Oryzias latipes: one gene and its partner. The protein of the gene in region 1 purifies or fractionates together with the protein of each later gene. This does not show direct contact. Links are inferred from orthologs where the notes say so. Each region holds a gene or a part of one and is shown in the gene's direction. Other genes may lie near its edges.

Region 1 (7,948 bases):
CAGCTGCTAAGAGCTGGGATTCATCCCGAAAGGCTTTTACAAGAATAGAATATTAGAAGAAAGCCTATGACTAAATGCTGCACATATGGACCACTAATACTTGGAGCCGTATAACATCAACATCCTTCATAGGAAACTCAATGAAGTTGTGGAAAACACCCTTGAAGCCAATGGCAAGCCATTTGCACCATCAAATGTGGCATATACCAAGGTGACGCTCTGTTCCCACTGCTGTTCTGCATAGATCTGAACCCCCTCTGCCAAATAATCAACAAGACTGGCTATGGATACCGACTCAGAAATGGGGCCACCATCAGTCACGTCCTCTACATGGATGACATCAAGCTATATGCAAAGAGTGAGCGTGACATTGACTCCCTGATCCACACCACCAGGATCTACAGTACTGACATTGGGATGTCATTCGACCTCAAGAAATGTAGCCAGGTGGTGGCAAAGAGAGGCAAGGTAGTCCACACAGGAGGGGTCTCACTCCCAGAAGGAACAATAGCAAACATTGAGGACAGTTACAAGTACCTTGGAATTCCATGGGCAAATGGCAACCTGGAGTAGGCAACAAGGAAAGCTGCAGTAGCCAAAAACCTCCAACGAGTAAGGCAAGTCTTGAGAAGCCTGCTCAATGGCAAGAACAAGACCTGGGCAATAAAGGGTTACACACTACCAGTTATCAGATACCCTGCAGAAATAATAAGATTACCAAAGGAAGAGATAGAAACCACGGATGTTAAGACCCGAAAGCTCCTCACATTATATGGAGGGTTCCATCCCAAATCCAGCATCCTGAGACTGTATGCTAGCTGCAAGGAAGGAGGCCGAGGACTGGTGAGCGTGGAAGCCACTATCCAGGGTGAAACATGTGCTCAGTGAATGTCTCAGGAAATGGAGAGAAGTTTTTAGAAATGCCAAACTTCACACATATACAGAGAGAGGCAGAGAACGGACAACTAGATAGAAAATAGAGCAAGCTAATGGAGAGATGTCTTATATCTTGCAGCACTAGAGAATACAATTTTTTTTATTGCTGTCGCCTTCGTGTTGCCTGCTTCTTTTCAATGGACAAATATACCACTTCTATGGTGTCAATTCAGCGCCTTAAGTATTGTGCATCAAAACTGTAAAACCGCGCATCAAAAAACAAACCCCAAATCTGCTAATCAAAATGCATAAATTGAGAACCAAAACCTATAATTTGCAACCAATAGCTATAACCCAAAACACAATCATATTTCTCAGTTGCCAATTTGTCTTCTCGCCATTCTGAAATCGTCTTTTTGAGTTGTAGTTTTATTTTGAAATCCTCTTTTTGAGTTGCGCTTTTATTTTTTGCGGTTTTGATTCTAAAACCTGTCGACACGTAAAATCATCCTCGTCATCCAGTAGCTCATTGGCTACCGAATAACTCAGTCTTACGTCAACATACCAGTTTCGGAAGGTGAGTTTTTCATATTTTTCAAATCTTTTTCTATATTAAAGCTATATTAGAGCTCCACCAGTAGCTGCTAGTGAAAAAAAAGATGTTAGAAAGTAAGATGTTGCATGAAAAACTATCGCCATTCATTGTACAAAATGTTCTCCTGTGGTAGCCATGCTAGCTAGCTCAATGGTAGTGCTGTTTCCGGCTCATTTCATAACTTTTACGGATTAAAAAAAGTCAATTTTTTACGACAGTGGCCGGGATAGGCTCTGGCAGCCCTGTGACCCCGAAAGGGAAAACGGGATTAGAAGATGAATGAATGAATGAGTTTCAGCAAGGGGACGGAAGGCAGATTGGAAAAGTTCATACAGATTATTGGAGGAAATATCATGAGCATGAAGCTGAGCAGATACTATTTTCTCAAGAATTTTTTAAATGAATGGAAGGTTGGAAATGGGACGGTAATTATTGAGGTCTGTGGGATCTGAACCCAATTATTTAAGTATGGGAGTGACAGCAGCAGTTTTCAGTGCAGAAGGAACAATTCCAGAGGAATGAAGCATGGATTATGTTGGTGATGAGAGGACAAAGAGAAGGAGCAGTAGCTTTAACAAGGATGGTGGGCAGTGGGTCAAGCTGGCATGTGGAAGGTTAGGATTTTTTGAATTAATGTAGAGATTTGACTAACTGTGGGTAGGGTAAATGAAGAAAACCAAATATCAGACTTAAAAGACGGAATGGAAAATAGAAATGGAGCAGAGTAGGGGGTAAACTGTTGATGGATTTTTGTGGTGAAAAATGAAGCCAAGGTGTTGCAGAAATCAGTTGAATAGAGGTGTGATGGAAGGGAGTTAGGAGGTTTGATGATGTTAGAGATGAGGGAGAAAAGAATCATTGATTATTTTTTATTTTAATTGATTAGATTGGAGTCGTAGGCAGATTTGGTTTTTGAGATGCAGTCTTTATAGTAAAGAATGTGCTGTATGTACATGTACCTGTGCGCTCACAGACACTGCAAGTGTATGAGCAGGATGACGTTCATGTTAAAAATAATGTACGCCGGAGACTATCGTGTCGTTTGAAAACTATAAATGTTACTCTGAAGTCCATCGGACAGTTGCGATCAAAAACAGCTGACATCAGTATGAACGAGTATAAACCAGCCCTTTTCTGATTTTGCTTGGTTATTATTCAACAAACTGAACGTATAAATTCCTAAATGTCAGTCACTGCGACGTAGGGGTGTGTATTGGCAAGAGTCTGCCTATAAGATACTTATCCCAATACTCGTCCCACAATACGATATGTATTGTGATATTTAACCGGAACACATTTTCTTTCTTTTTTTAAATATGACTTGAAAAAACTCTACCAGAATTTCAATACGTCTTTCGTTGTAAAAAATAATTGTAAAATTTAGTTTATTTAATGATCACAATGTTAATAATATATATATAAGTTGATTTTACCCAAGCAAATTCATAGTGCTTTTATTTAGGTAACTTCAAATATATAAAGGGAACAGTCAACAAGTATTTTGACAACAAAATAATTTTCAGAACAAGAAAAAAAATGGAATGACTGTGCCTTAACCAAAAAAGTATGATTTAGGAAATAAATAAATGTTTATTTTTCTACATTAAAGTAAATTCTCAAGTACCTTTAAACAGTTCAGGAGCCTGAATGGTGCTTCAAAAATAAAGGGGGGAAAAAACGAATTATTTCCAAAAACAATAGAGTGTGATGAGGCAGCATGACAGGGTGGAGAATCTTTAATGTGGCTATGCTTTATTTACATACATAATATTTGAGCGAACCCCTATACTACAGTCACAGGGCCCAATGAACTACTGTGAATGACGCTGCCCCCTCTATGCTGACAATCCAAAGAAAGGCTCTTTCCTCACAGCAAGAAAGCTCCCAGTTCAAGTCCCGGCTGGGGGACCTGAAACAGAACATCAGTGGGGGACCTTTCTGTGTGGAGTTTGCATGTTCTCCCTGTGCATGCATGGATTTTCTACGGGGACTCCAAAAACATGCTTCATAGGTTAATTGGTTACTCGAAATTGTCCCTAGGATGCATGGGTGTGTGATTGTGGCCCTGCGATAGACTTGCGACCTGTCCAGGGTTGTACCCTGCCTTCGCCTGCAAGTGGCTGGGATAGGCTCTGGCAGCCCTGTGACCCCGAAAGGGAAAAAACAGATTAGAAAATGAACGAATGAATGTTTACGTATGTATTTTGAGCATAAACAAAACTAAATATTTTAGTTGCCAAAACACTTTACACCTGCCTTTTTTTTAAATGGGCACCATCACACTTCTCCATTCCTTAGGCATCTTCTCACATTCTAACATCCTGTTGAACAACTCAGTCAAAAGCTCCACTGCCATCTCTCCTAGACACTTTATTTTTGTTGGACTTTTTATTCTAAGCGGGGGTAGTCTGTGCAGAGACATGTCCAGAGCTACAGGGGGCAGCACCTCTGGAACAGAGCGGCGGAACGCCCCGACTTCGTTTGAAAACGGAAGTCGTTCCCTGCTGCAAAGAATAAGAAGCGCACGTGGCCACGCAGCTCGCACGCGCGGTTGGACCCGGACGGTTCGAAGAATCAGAGGTCAACTTTCCCGGTTCTTAAAGCTATCATGAAGCCAGGTAATATCGTAAGCTCCGCCCGGATGTATCTATAATGTCAATATCTCAGCTCCGAAATAAAGCATTTTTTGCGTTAGGGAAGGAGGGGGGTAACAACAGAAGTTGCCTCGTGCGCCGATAAGTTACATGTTGGTAATAATCAAACCGATTTCCCATCATGCTCGGCAGCGGCGTCTACGAAGCCCCTAAATTTTATTCAGATGGTTCGTGTTTTGGTGGGGGGGCTTCTCGCTAATACTCCCGAACCGTGAATGTTATGGGTCAGAACGACGGAAAGGACAAACTCTCCATTCCGAACCCAAAAGCTAAGATTCTCCCCGAAACCAAACCACGAAGTCTGCGGTCACGTGATTTTTATTAGGATTAGATTACCTTTTTTTTAAGGACGTCGCTGTGTTGTCTCTAATGACTCTTGTTTGAAAAAAAAAAAGAGAGATTTTGTTTATGAACAGCCACTGGCCCTCTTTACAGCTCATGATTGGTCACGGCAGGCAGAAAACCACGCCCCCAATTTGGGGCAATTTTAATTATTCATTTAAAATAAGTCTCCAAACTCCTATCTCAAACAATATAGTTAAACTTTGTATACAATCTAGACGAATTGGACGATCTCTGACTTCACTGGTTGGACTGAAACATAAAGTGAGGGGGGGACAGAGTTAAGTCCCCCACAGGTGTTGACTTTTGGGCAGGACCAAGGCCCCACCCTCCATTCGAAATCCAAAGTGTTTCAAGTCCCACTACGATCATCATTGGATCTATTTTCAAAGTGTTCCCAGTGGTCTTTTAATTCTGATTTTGTCGTTTTCAGGCAAGATCCATAAACTGTTGTTTCCTAGGACATAGTTCCTGCAGAGCAGCAGGAGTTCATTAAAAATTCACCTCTGAGTTGTAGGCGGGACTGTAGGCGTGGAGTTAGTGAGACCACCTGACTGCAATCTTTCATGTGTTGTGTGTTTCAGGATTCAGTCCCCGTGGAGACAGAGGAGGAAGAGGAGGAGGAGGATGGGGTGGAGGACGAGGGGGGTTCAGTGACCGAGGAGGAAGAGGGGGGTTCGGTGACCGTGGAGGAAGAGGCGGGTTCAGAGGTGGACGAGGTAAGAACGGCGCCGTAGTTCCGTTCCGTAGACAGCCAGCAGAAGGATCTGTTACTCACAAAAGCCTCTTTTTAGGTGGAGGATTCCGGTCCCCCGACGGTGGAGGGTTTCGAGGACGCGGGGGCGGCAGAGGAACCCCAAGAGGACGAGGAGGGAGAGGAGGCCGTGGAGGGTTTGGAGGAGGGAAGAAGGTGGTGATAGAGCCGCACAGACATGAAGGTACTTATGGACTCCTGATGATGATCTTTTCCATTTTAAACAGGCGTCTAAAAGCTGATTTCTACCTGCGGTGCGTCTGCGATGTGGTGACACAAGAAATGTGCCAATCAGAATGTTTACACCGTCTCCGTCACATGTCCGTCCCTCCACAACCCAGGCTTTACGCAGCAGTTCTATTTTCTGCCAATCGACGCTTCAAATTCGTCCCTAAAAGCCGGGAAACGGATCCGGGTTTAAAGATAAAATCTTCTGTTGTATTTTCAAAATAAAACTTTCTAAGACTTCATATTTACAGTGACGTGTTCACATGATGACGCACGTCAACACCGCCGCTAACACCACCACGGACGAGGAAAGTTTAATTGTGGAGGTTAAAAAACACATGTATGACACAAAATGTGTATTTTACAAGGACTCAGTGAGGAAGAGGAGGGTACGGGGTTTGATCGTTTAAGTATTGGATGAGCAAAGAGACACGGGGTTGAAAGGCCAATCCACTCCTCCAGGGGGAGGGTCTTGAAACAAACTCCTCAAACAGCGCGACGGCGGCACACTGCAGAGGGAGCAGTGTAAATTCAGGGTTACTCTTCACCCAAAGCTCATCATGCACGCATGAAAAAGCAAACAAGATGAAAACGACAGAGAATCCTCATTCAAATGTAGACGCAGCAGGTCAGTCTGAACGGACAGAAAGACACGACTACCCCCAAACCATCCTCTAGTTGTTTTTAACATTGAGGGAGGCTTTGTCCTGAAATGAAATGGACTTGGTTCTGTTGTTCTAGAAACCACCAAACAGAACCGGCTTTTTTTTTTTTTTTTAACTGGGGTCTTTGGAGAGTACGTGGAGCATGAACATTTAAAGTTTCCGTAGAAAGAATGTTCTGTTTGAACAGAAAGATGTCTTCCACCAAATTTCATCAAAGCTCTGCTTACAGTTGTCTGGATGAGCTGAAGGCTTTTCAGAGCTGTTCTGGAACAGCCCAGTCATCAGGAAGTTCCATCACAGATGCATGGACTAGTTTCTGTACGGCAGGACTCGTGCTGTTTCAGGGTTTCCTCGAGTTAAAGGTCATGTTGCTGTGGTGAGAGTCTGAAACTGACGTAGGAGAGTTAAGTCAGTTTGCTTCAGATGTTTGTCATGGATGGTTCCTCTGAAGTGAGTCATTACTACTCTACAGGTCTATAGTGAAGAGCTGAACAGCTCTGTTTCTTAGCTGAGTTAAAGGTAATGTAAATGTGACGTCTTTAGAGGAATGAACAGGGGTCTGCAACCACAGGCGGCCCCTTTAACAGTCTGTGGTAGCTCTTTGGCTTTAACCTCTTCAGATCTGTGTGTGGACATCACAGTTAAATTGGGTTAGATGACCACATTTCTGCTTAAACTGAGCCCTGTAATTACTTGATTCGAGGGTTATCTCAAACATTAGCCTGGGTCTTAAGAGGTTTAAACAACGCACAACGATGTCTGGTTGTTGTTCAGAGTTTTTGAAGTCTGTATTTTGCATTTACACGAGTGGATTTAAAAAATTGTTTTCTACACCTATGTTTAGTTTTGACAGTAAAAGAAATAAACAGGATGAAAGCGCACCAAAGTCATGACAGAAAATGTCACGTTTGACCTGTTTTTTGTGTATTTTTATTGTAAGTAAATCTGCTGCATCAGAAGGATCTTATTTGACACAGCGTGCACTTTATTTTGAAAGGAACACAGATCTGCTGCTGTAAAGAGTAAAGAAGTTCCAGATGTTATCTATAGAAAAATATAAGATTTTAGAAATATTTAAAAGGTAAATCTTACAAAGGAATGGGTGTAAAAAGGTGTATTTTTCTAAAAGGTTAAGTGGGACGGCCCTTTGAGCGTTTCAGAATGAAGATGTAAGGAGGTTATGTATGTGGGTCTGACGGTCTGGGTCGTGGTTTCTTCCAGGGGTGTTTATCTGCAGAGGGAAGGAGGATGCCCTCGTCACCAAAAACATGGTGGTGGGAGAGTCTGTGTACGGGGAGAAGAGGATGAGCGTGGAGGTAAAGAGCCGCTTCTGTATTGTGAGGTTGTCCCTGTAGCTCCAGTGCTGAAGGGTTGGTTAACCCTCAGCCTCTGGTCCCTGCAACAGCAAAGTGTAAAAACTGAAACCATAACTCCTGTTTTTAAAATGTTTGGATCCTTTCCTGCTAGATGACGTAAACTCTTGGCTGGCTTCTGCAGCAGAGCTGGACTTGGTGGATTTTTCTTCTGGAAGATGATTGTGGATTTCCTGTTTTTGATCAGGAGGGTGATACTAAGATTGAGTACAGAGCCTGGAATCCTTTCCGCTCCAAACTAGCAGCTGCCATTCTTGGAGGAGTTGACCAGATTCACATCAAACCCGGAGCCAAGGTCATGTACCTTGGAGCCGCATCGGGAACCACGGTGTCCCACGTCTCTGACATCGTTGGGCCAGTAAGTACATTTCAGAAGTAATCGCATTGTTGTTGCTGTTGTGAAAATGCGTCACTGCTGTCAGTACCCATATGTGGTTTGATCAATATGCAGCTTTGACACA
Region 2 (7,848 bases), on another chromosome or scaffold:
ACGTGACCTCTCCTTCTCCGTTGTCGTCCTCTGAAGCTCAGCATGGAGAAGCTCTGCTGTGGACCGGCTGGTCGGAGAAACATCCGGAAGGCGCTGAGGGAACGGCCGGTGCTCCGTGGGATGATCCAGAAATGAGGTCCATGTGGGACGAGCACGCTTCAGAGATCTACTGCTCGTACTGGGAGAGATTCTCCTACTGGGCCTCGCAGGGTTGGACTATGGACGGGAACGGCGGTGGAGGAGAGGCAGCTGCTGAGACGGAAAACCGGCAGGAGGAGGAGCTGAGCACTCTGTTGGAGGGCAGCTGCACCTTCGCGGCAGACCAGGAGGCGAGCAGGGAAGGTGAGGGAGGCGGCCAGCAGCTGGAGGCGGAGCTTGGTGGATCTGAGCGCCCCAGTGACGGTGGGGGTGATGAGCAGAGACCAGCTGGCCCTCCACAGCAGCACACAGCTGAACAAACAGGTATGTGCATCACCTGACCAATTTCATGTCCCATTAGCTGTCACAAACTTGGCTGTGTGACCTTTTCTACACATGTGACCCCTCCCCCTGGGGGAGCGGTGAGCTGCAGACACAGCTGCCCAGTGGGAGCCATTTGCCGGTTTAACCCCCCCCCGATCCAACCCTTTAATGTTGAGTGCCAATGGGGTAGGCATTTTAGAGTCTTTGGATCTGAACTCACCTTCCAGTCTCAGGGGAGACACTCTACCTTAAGGCCACTGAGGAGATGCCCTTTTCTAAAGAAAACAAAGCCCCCTGCTGTTTTCACTCTGTTCAAATCCTCGTTTTCAGTCTCAAATGTTTGTTACCAGATTTAAATTTTTCCGTTTCTCTGCTGATAATTTTTCAGCTCTTGATGCCTATTGATGCAAATATTCATCAAACCACTTCTGCCTCAAAATCAAAGGGCCTAAAAAAAATCCACCTTTTGAGGTTTTAAGTGTATTATTATGTTCATTTCTCACATAGACGACCCAAAAGTTAAATTTTATCTGAGTAATCCTCTGAAAACCTGCTCTCTGAGCACCAGCCCCTCCAAATCCATGGAAACGGTTGGTTCCTTACACCAGTGTTTTTCAACCTTTTCTGATCCACGGCACACTTTAACCTTAAAAAAAATCCCGCGGCACACCAGCATCCAAGAAAAAAAAAAAAAAGGAGAAACTCATAGTCTGTATTGATCTACAGCCCCTCCACAGTCTCACATGCATTTTTGAGATAATTGTTGCAGAAAAAGCTGGAAACTGCAGCTGTTTTTTTCTAAAAGATGCAATAAAAGTTAAGTTAGAAGATTTAAAAACAGTTTGAAGTGTGTTCGTTGGTTTCAAGACGTTTAACAACAGATCTCCTTGTGCGCTGTCACTCTCATAACCCAATGCATCATGGGAGATGTAGTGCATAAAACGGCCGAAGATCGGTTTTCGGAGCTTCATTGTTTTGTTCACTTGTTCCACGGTCTGACACCAGATTATGTGGAAAGCTACAGCGCAAAAGACGAGCTTTAGCTGGTAGTTTTGTTAGAACTGAGCGACTTTACGAACTAAATCGGGACAAGGAAGTGAAGACTTTAACCACTTCTGATTGGTCAGACTGATGACATGTGATTAAGCCTTCAAGAATGATTGGTGGAGACAGTTAAAGGGGCGGGACTTTTCCAAAATACAGCCGGAGCTGCAGCTGAATCGTGGTAACGTCATTCTTATCAAAATGTCTTTAATAAAATAAAATAAACGCAAAGAAAAAGTATTTTACTATCTTTCATATTCCTAACTCCTCAGTGTTTTATCAGGACCTGTTTGGATGAACAAAGAGCTGAAATCCTGGAGATGGAAAATGTTTTTAGATCACTTAATGAGGGCAATTTCCCACGGCACATTTGACCATCTCCCACGGCACACTGGTTGAAAAACACTGCCTTACACTGTGACATCACAAAGTGAGGAACCGCCCCTTCCAGGAAGAGTCTGCGCTGTCAGCCCCGCCCCCAGACTAAAACACACGCCCACTTTCTCCGTGGAGCTAGCGGTCATCGGCTAAATGCTTTCCTTTTATATGAACAATATGCACATCTTTCTTTGTAAAAGTTCGGATGTTGTTTGTTTTCGGCTGTAGGTTGACAACATGAAATGGGCGTAACCCACACAGAGAGAAAGGCGGAGCCTCAGAAATCGAGTCGTCTTAATTCCGGGTTGGGAACTGAGCTGCAAAAATAACTCATATTTTATTTTAAAAAATGTTTGAAAGACATTTAAAAAAGCATTTTTATTGTTCCAAAGGTGATTTATTATCATATTTATGGATGTAGTTTACTCTGAAAGGCCTAAGAACAGCATGCTAAAGGCCCTTCAACTTAGTATCTACTTAAAAAACAAAAACGTAAGTGAATTTTTTTTCATAGCTGGAAATAAATATATAAAATAAATATATAAAATATATAAATAAAATTAAATATTCAGCAGATGTGTCCGTGACCCACAGCGGGACCTTTTCTGTCCGAAGCGTGACTCACTGTCCACAGTTTTCATTAAGACCTGAGCGTGTTTTACCTCTTTCAGCGTCATCTTTTCTATCTCCTTCTATGTTCCTGTAACACTTGACTGCAGGCGTCCTGGATCTCCTAACCCGTTTGGATGAAGACAGATCTGCTTTCTCATGTCGCAGAACTTTTCCCACAATGGGGAAAAGTAAAGAGGCCGGCCGGGCGGCGTCTTTAGGACCGGCTCTTTGTTATTTAGTGATGTTTTCAACAGTGTCTTTAATAATAAAAGTGAATACATTAATGATAAATATTGAGGGTGAGGTAAAAGTCGTACTTAAAACATCAGTTCATCAAATACTAGATCGGTTCTCTGTCAAAGCTGTATTGTTTCATTTCCATCAGTTAATGAGGAATTCTTTTGCTTTTCTTCATCATAAAAATTCACAACTTTTTTTACTTTAAAAGGTTTCTCTGAATAGAAATGGTTTTTAATGGAAATTAGATTTAAAAAGTCCTTTTTTTTAATTCAAATTGTGTTAAAATGAACGTGTGGTTTGTTGAATGAAAACAGAATCAGGGCCGTGTCAGATCATCGCCTCATGCCTTTGGTTTGATCTCAGTCTGTCAGCAGAACTCTGGCTCCTCTAACGGACATCATGACTCCAGAAAGCCGATTTCGCAAAGAGATGACGACGATGATGAGGACGAAGATGATGAAAACCCCAGGCGACAGACCAAAGTGAAGCGCAGGTGAGTATTCTCTGTTGTGCTGCTAAGTAGGGATGTAACGGACACGGATGTACATCAAGAATCGATCAAAATCTGGGAGTAGCAGCAGTGTCGGATAAAAAATACTGATAAGAATAAGGAATAATAAGGAAGAAGTGTTTTTTTCCTTCTCAGTCCTTTTTCAGGCGCAGCCGTTAGTGTTAGTGTTTCGCTCATGTCCAGATCTGCCAGGAGAGTCGATAGACTCGATAGACTGTCCTGGCAGATGCAGCCTGTGAAGAAACCTGAATCACATGTTCAGGTCCCTCCAGTCATGCGGCTAGAGACAGAGCTGTCCACATGATGGAATATTCGCTACAGAAAAAGCTCCTCTGGGACAATTCAAACACCAAATATGTTTGCAGAGACACAGGAGACCAATATCAGAAACTGTCCAGGAGTCAGTTAGGCTGTCTTTCTAAATAACACAGAAAAGAATCCCAAAAGTTTCTTTTTATTTTTACCTGGAAAACAATTGGGGTAAAAACCAACCCTGATCACGTGATAGTAGTGCAGCTCTTTAGTAAAGTTGTTAACAAAGTTTGAACTCATGAATCTTCAGACAATAACTCTGTCATTATGGGATCATTTTATTCAATAAATCAGGGTTTTGACTTGTTTTAGGGACCAGACTAGAAACATTATTTTACTGCAATGCCTTTTCAACTTGCATAGTGTTTTGGTTTTATTAGAGCTCAGTTTTCTGCATATTAAGCTTATGATTTGGCAAATGGGCGGAGCTTACAAACTCTCACTTTAGTCGCCAATCGCCAACCTTCGGTTCCTGCAGTTGATGCAAACCGGGAAGCATTAAATAGTGCAGTTCATGAAAAGACCACTAGAGGCTGGTGGCAGAAGGGAGCAGCTTTTACATTTTGGTTGAGGTTTTAAACTAAAAGTATATTCATGTTTGTTTGTTTTTGCTTTTTTGTTTCTTTCTGCTGCACTCAGACAGACTTTCTGTGTGGTTTCTGATAAATTTAGTAAAGGTATTTATTCATAAAAGATTATACAAGATGTCTATTGGTTTTGCTTGAAGCGCTGATGCTTACAAAGGCACTAAAGCTGTGTTTAGTTTTGTCATTTTGTACTTTGGATTTTTTTTAAAACTACATGAAGGTAAAGAAGTCAGGTCCTCCCCAAACACTGTATAGGAATTTAAAGCTAAACTTATTTAGTTGCCCAAAATAAGACCAAACATTACAGCTGGGTATCACCTTCAAACCTCTAAATCCAGAGGCTGGTCAATATTTAATACGTTCCCAACGTTGTGTTCTGTAATGTTTGTGGATAAAGTAGGAAGAATAGAACAGACGGGTGATGTTGTGACGAACAAAAACTAAACGGATCATGTCTGTGACACGGACACTTTGTGGCTCTTCATCATTTAATTGCAGCTCATCTTCTAGTTTTCATGAACACATGACGAGTTCTTTGCTTCTGTAGTTCTTGAAATTATCAGAAAGAAAATCGCGGAAAATATTTCAATAAAGATCACCCGGCTTTTTGTTTGTTTCATTTAGGCCTTCACAATGATTCGCAAATTTATCGATATCGCGATATTAAGCTGTGCAGTGTGCATATCGCAATGGATGGCAAAAATAAATGGTTACTTTAAATGTGCTAAAACAATCTTATGGCAGCTTGAAGTATTTAGCGAATCAAAATAAATCCCTTTATGCATCAGATCAGATGGAGCCCTTTTATGTTAGCTGTTCTATGTAGACGAGGGTCATTTCGAGTATAAAGTTATGTTGACTCTTATTTCAATTAAATTGCAGTGAAATAGAAATGTTGTATTTGGTTGTTTTGCTATGTGTTCGTAAATCGCAATATATATCGTCGTCGCAATATTGATTACTAATATTGCATATCGTGAGTTTTCCTCCTATCGTGCAGCTCTAGTCTCTTTGTTTGTTTTCATATTTTTTTCTTTTAATACACACAAAAACCATTTTATTTTAATGTAATGCAATAGGCTTCCATGTGATCCCTCACCATTACCAAAAGAAAGTCCCCATTTCCTTGTTTTAGTTATCAATAGGATCAATAATGATCAATAACATGTGGAAAGCGCATTGATATGAGTTTAGCTTCAATAACTTCAGAAAATTAGAGGTCATGTCACAAAGACCGGACCAAAGTTTTATAACGGCAGCTGCTCATCTGGTTCAACTGGACCTGTGGGCGCTTTCTGTCCCAGCCTGTCAACACGCCATGTCTGTGTTTGTAGCCACGAGCAGGACGAGGAGGAGTTCCCGCAGCTCACCCCCCAGGAAGCCTGGACCGAGCTCGGACTCCGACACGACCCGGGCCTGACGTGAGTCCGCTCTCTTTAATTCCCTCTTTTATGCTCGTCACGGAGAAAAAGCACACCCATGAGCAGCAGGACTCTGAAGGAGCCCCCAGCAGCACCCTTCCCCCTCCAAACATGGTTCCAGAGACAACAGTCAGTTTACAAATGAGACAATGCTACTTGTAAGCAGGACCTGTCAGCCCCAACATCAATAAAAGCCCCCCCACAAAAAGTGCCTGAAATTTTACTTTTTTCTCTCAAAACTCCAAAATTGATTTCAAAATCGCAGTTATTGAACCTTTTTTATAGAAAGCACTCGAGATGATGATCAGTACAGAGCTCTGGCCTTAACCTTAGGTTGGCCTTAAGTTGTTGCTGACTCACATCTAGCTCTGTTAGCTCCAGAAGGATGAAGCAGGACAAAGCTAACAGACTCAGGCCAATTTGCTCCAGGCAGATGATGCAGGATGAGGCCCAGGTCTAATAGCTCCAGGAGGATGGTGCAGGGCGGGGCCCAGGTCTAATAGCTCCAGGACGATGGTGCAGGGCGGGGCCCAGGTCTAATAGCTCCAGGAGGATGGTGCAGGGCGGGGCCCAGGTCTAAAAGCACCAGGAGGATGGTGCAGGGCGGGGCCCAGGTCTAATAGCTCCAGGAGGATGGTGCAGGGCAGGGCCCAGGTCTAATAGCTCCAGGAGGATGGTGCAGGGCGGGGCCCAGGTCTAATAGCTCCAGGAGGATGGTGCAGGGCGGGGCCCAGGTCTAATAGCTCCAGGAGGATGGTGCAGGGCGGGGCCCAGGTCTAAAAGCACCAGGAGGATGGTGCAGGGCGGGGCCCAGGTCTAATAGCTCCAGGAGGATGGTGCAGGGCGGGGCCCAGGTCTAATAGCTCCAGGAGGATGGTGCAGGGCGGGGCTCAGGGCCTGTTAGTTCCAGGAGGATGGTGCAGGGCGGGGCCCAGGTCTAATAGCTCCAGGAGGATGGTGCAGGGCGGGGCCCAGGTCTAATAGCTCCAGGAGGATGGTGCAGGGCGGGGCCCAGGTCTAATAGCTCCAGGAGGATGGTGCAGGGCGGGGCTCAGGGCCTGTTAGTTCCAGGAGGATGATGCAGGGCGGGGCCCAGGTCTAATAGCTCCAGGAGGGCGGTAAAGGATGAGGCTCAAAAATTAAATGGCTGGAACCAGCTCAGTGAGCTCAGATGAAGAGTGTTTTTAACATTTCAGGTTTTAAAATATAGTCTTGCATTTAACATATTGAACTAGCTTTATTCTTGCATGCTATAGGTCCTTTGAAGGCTCACTGTATTCTCCTAAATTGAAACCATGTGAACAGGTTAACAGCACAAATAGTTATCTTATTCTGACATTGGTTTTGATCACAGAAACAAATAAATCTGTTCTTCTTGTCCTGCCCTTAAGGCTCTTCAGGTCAAGTAACCGCAAGCTGTTTTCACAGGTTAGGAAGCTTAGACTAGCTTATAATGCAATTCAGCCACTCACCAAAAAGTATAGGGGACACATATTACTGATTTTGTGACAGGAGCCTGGGGGCCGGTGGAATTCTGAACGCAGCATTTGTTCCACAGGCCAGACTTTAAGTAAAAAAGCCCTGAAAGTGCAGGTGAGGCTGCCTTATGGATGCATGTGTGAATAACCGTGCAGTGACCACACAGCAGAAGCCGGGTCTGTGTTCCTTCTGCAGGTTCGACAGTGTGTTGAGCTTCAAAGGTCCAGGTTCTCTGCGTCAGAAGAAGCAGAGGAAGACGAAGAGGAGCGTCTGCGGCGTCAACAAGCACATCAGGTTCCCTGAGGCGGGTGAAGCCATCACACCATCACAGAGCAGCAGCGCCGTTCAAAAGGTACTCCTCCCTGTTTGACACTGTTAGAGGTCCGCTGTTACTGCTGGACGGAGGTTTCTGATCTTCTCCATTCTCGCATAGAGTATGAATGAAGTAGACCCAAAGCTATTTATCATTTACAACACTGAGGATAGGTGATGGCAGGAAACGATGGGACCACCCGCTCACCTCTCTGGACCCATCCACGAACTGACAGTTTATACAAAGCTGCTGTGGAAACGAGCAGAAGACTTTTAGAAACAAATTATGTAATAAAGAACCTCACAACACATCTCATTTGTGATTTATTTTCATGAAAAAAAAAATTTAAATTACAAAATATAAGGACAATTCAAAACTGCAGGAATTTATGTCTCAGATTTTTGTCACTCTTGGTTTCATTTTTCCGCTGATGACCCAGTTTGACCTTTAGCTGGCGCACAGTACACTGGTGCAGTAGTCGTTCAGAAC

Evidence for each region.
Region 2: the proteins of fbl (region 1) and tgs1 purify together in Homo sapiens (affinity purification with mass spectrometry; 3 studies listed by BioGRID and IntAct, counting the BioPlex papers as one, with this or other methods). This does not show direct contact. The link is inferred for Oryzias latipes from reciprocal best matches to the Homo sapiens genes FBL and TGS1.

The regions. Positions count from the first base shown.
Region 1 is NC_019874.2:7,455,315-7,463,262, forward strand, and holds the start of fbl (rRNA 2'-O-methyltransferase fibrillarin), read left to right. Parts: upstream 1-3,960; 5' UTR 3,961-4,079; coding exon 4,080-4,089; intron 4,090-5,051; coding exon 5,052-5,186; intron 5,187-5,261; coding exon 5,262-5,405; intron 5,406-7,335; coding exon 7,336-7,430; intron 7,431-7,674; coding exon 7,675-7,845; intron 7,846-7,948.
Region 2 is NC_019875.2:5,126,074-5,133,921, forward strand, and holds part of tgs1 (trimethylguanosine synthase), read left to right. Parts: intron 1-36; coding exon 37-462; intron 463-3,099; coding exon 3,100-3,229; intron 3,230-5,480; coding exon 5,481-5,567; intron 5,568-7,241; coding exon 7,242-7,398; intron 7,399-7,848. UniProt on the Homo sapiens protein: Catalyzes the 2 serial methylation steps for the conversion of the 7-monomethylguanosine (m(7)G) caps of snRNAs and snoRNAs to a 2,2,7-trimethylguanosine (m(2,2,7)G) cap structure.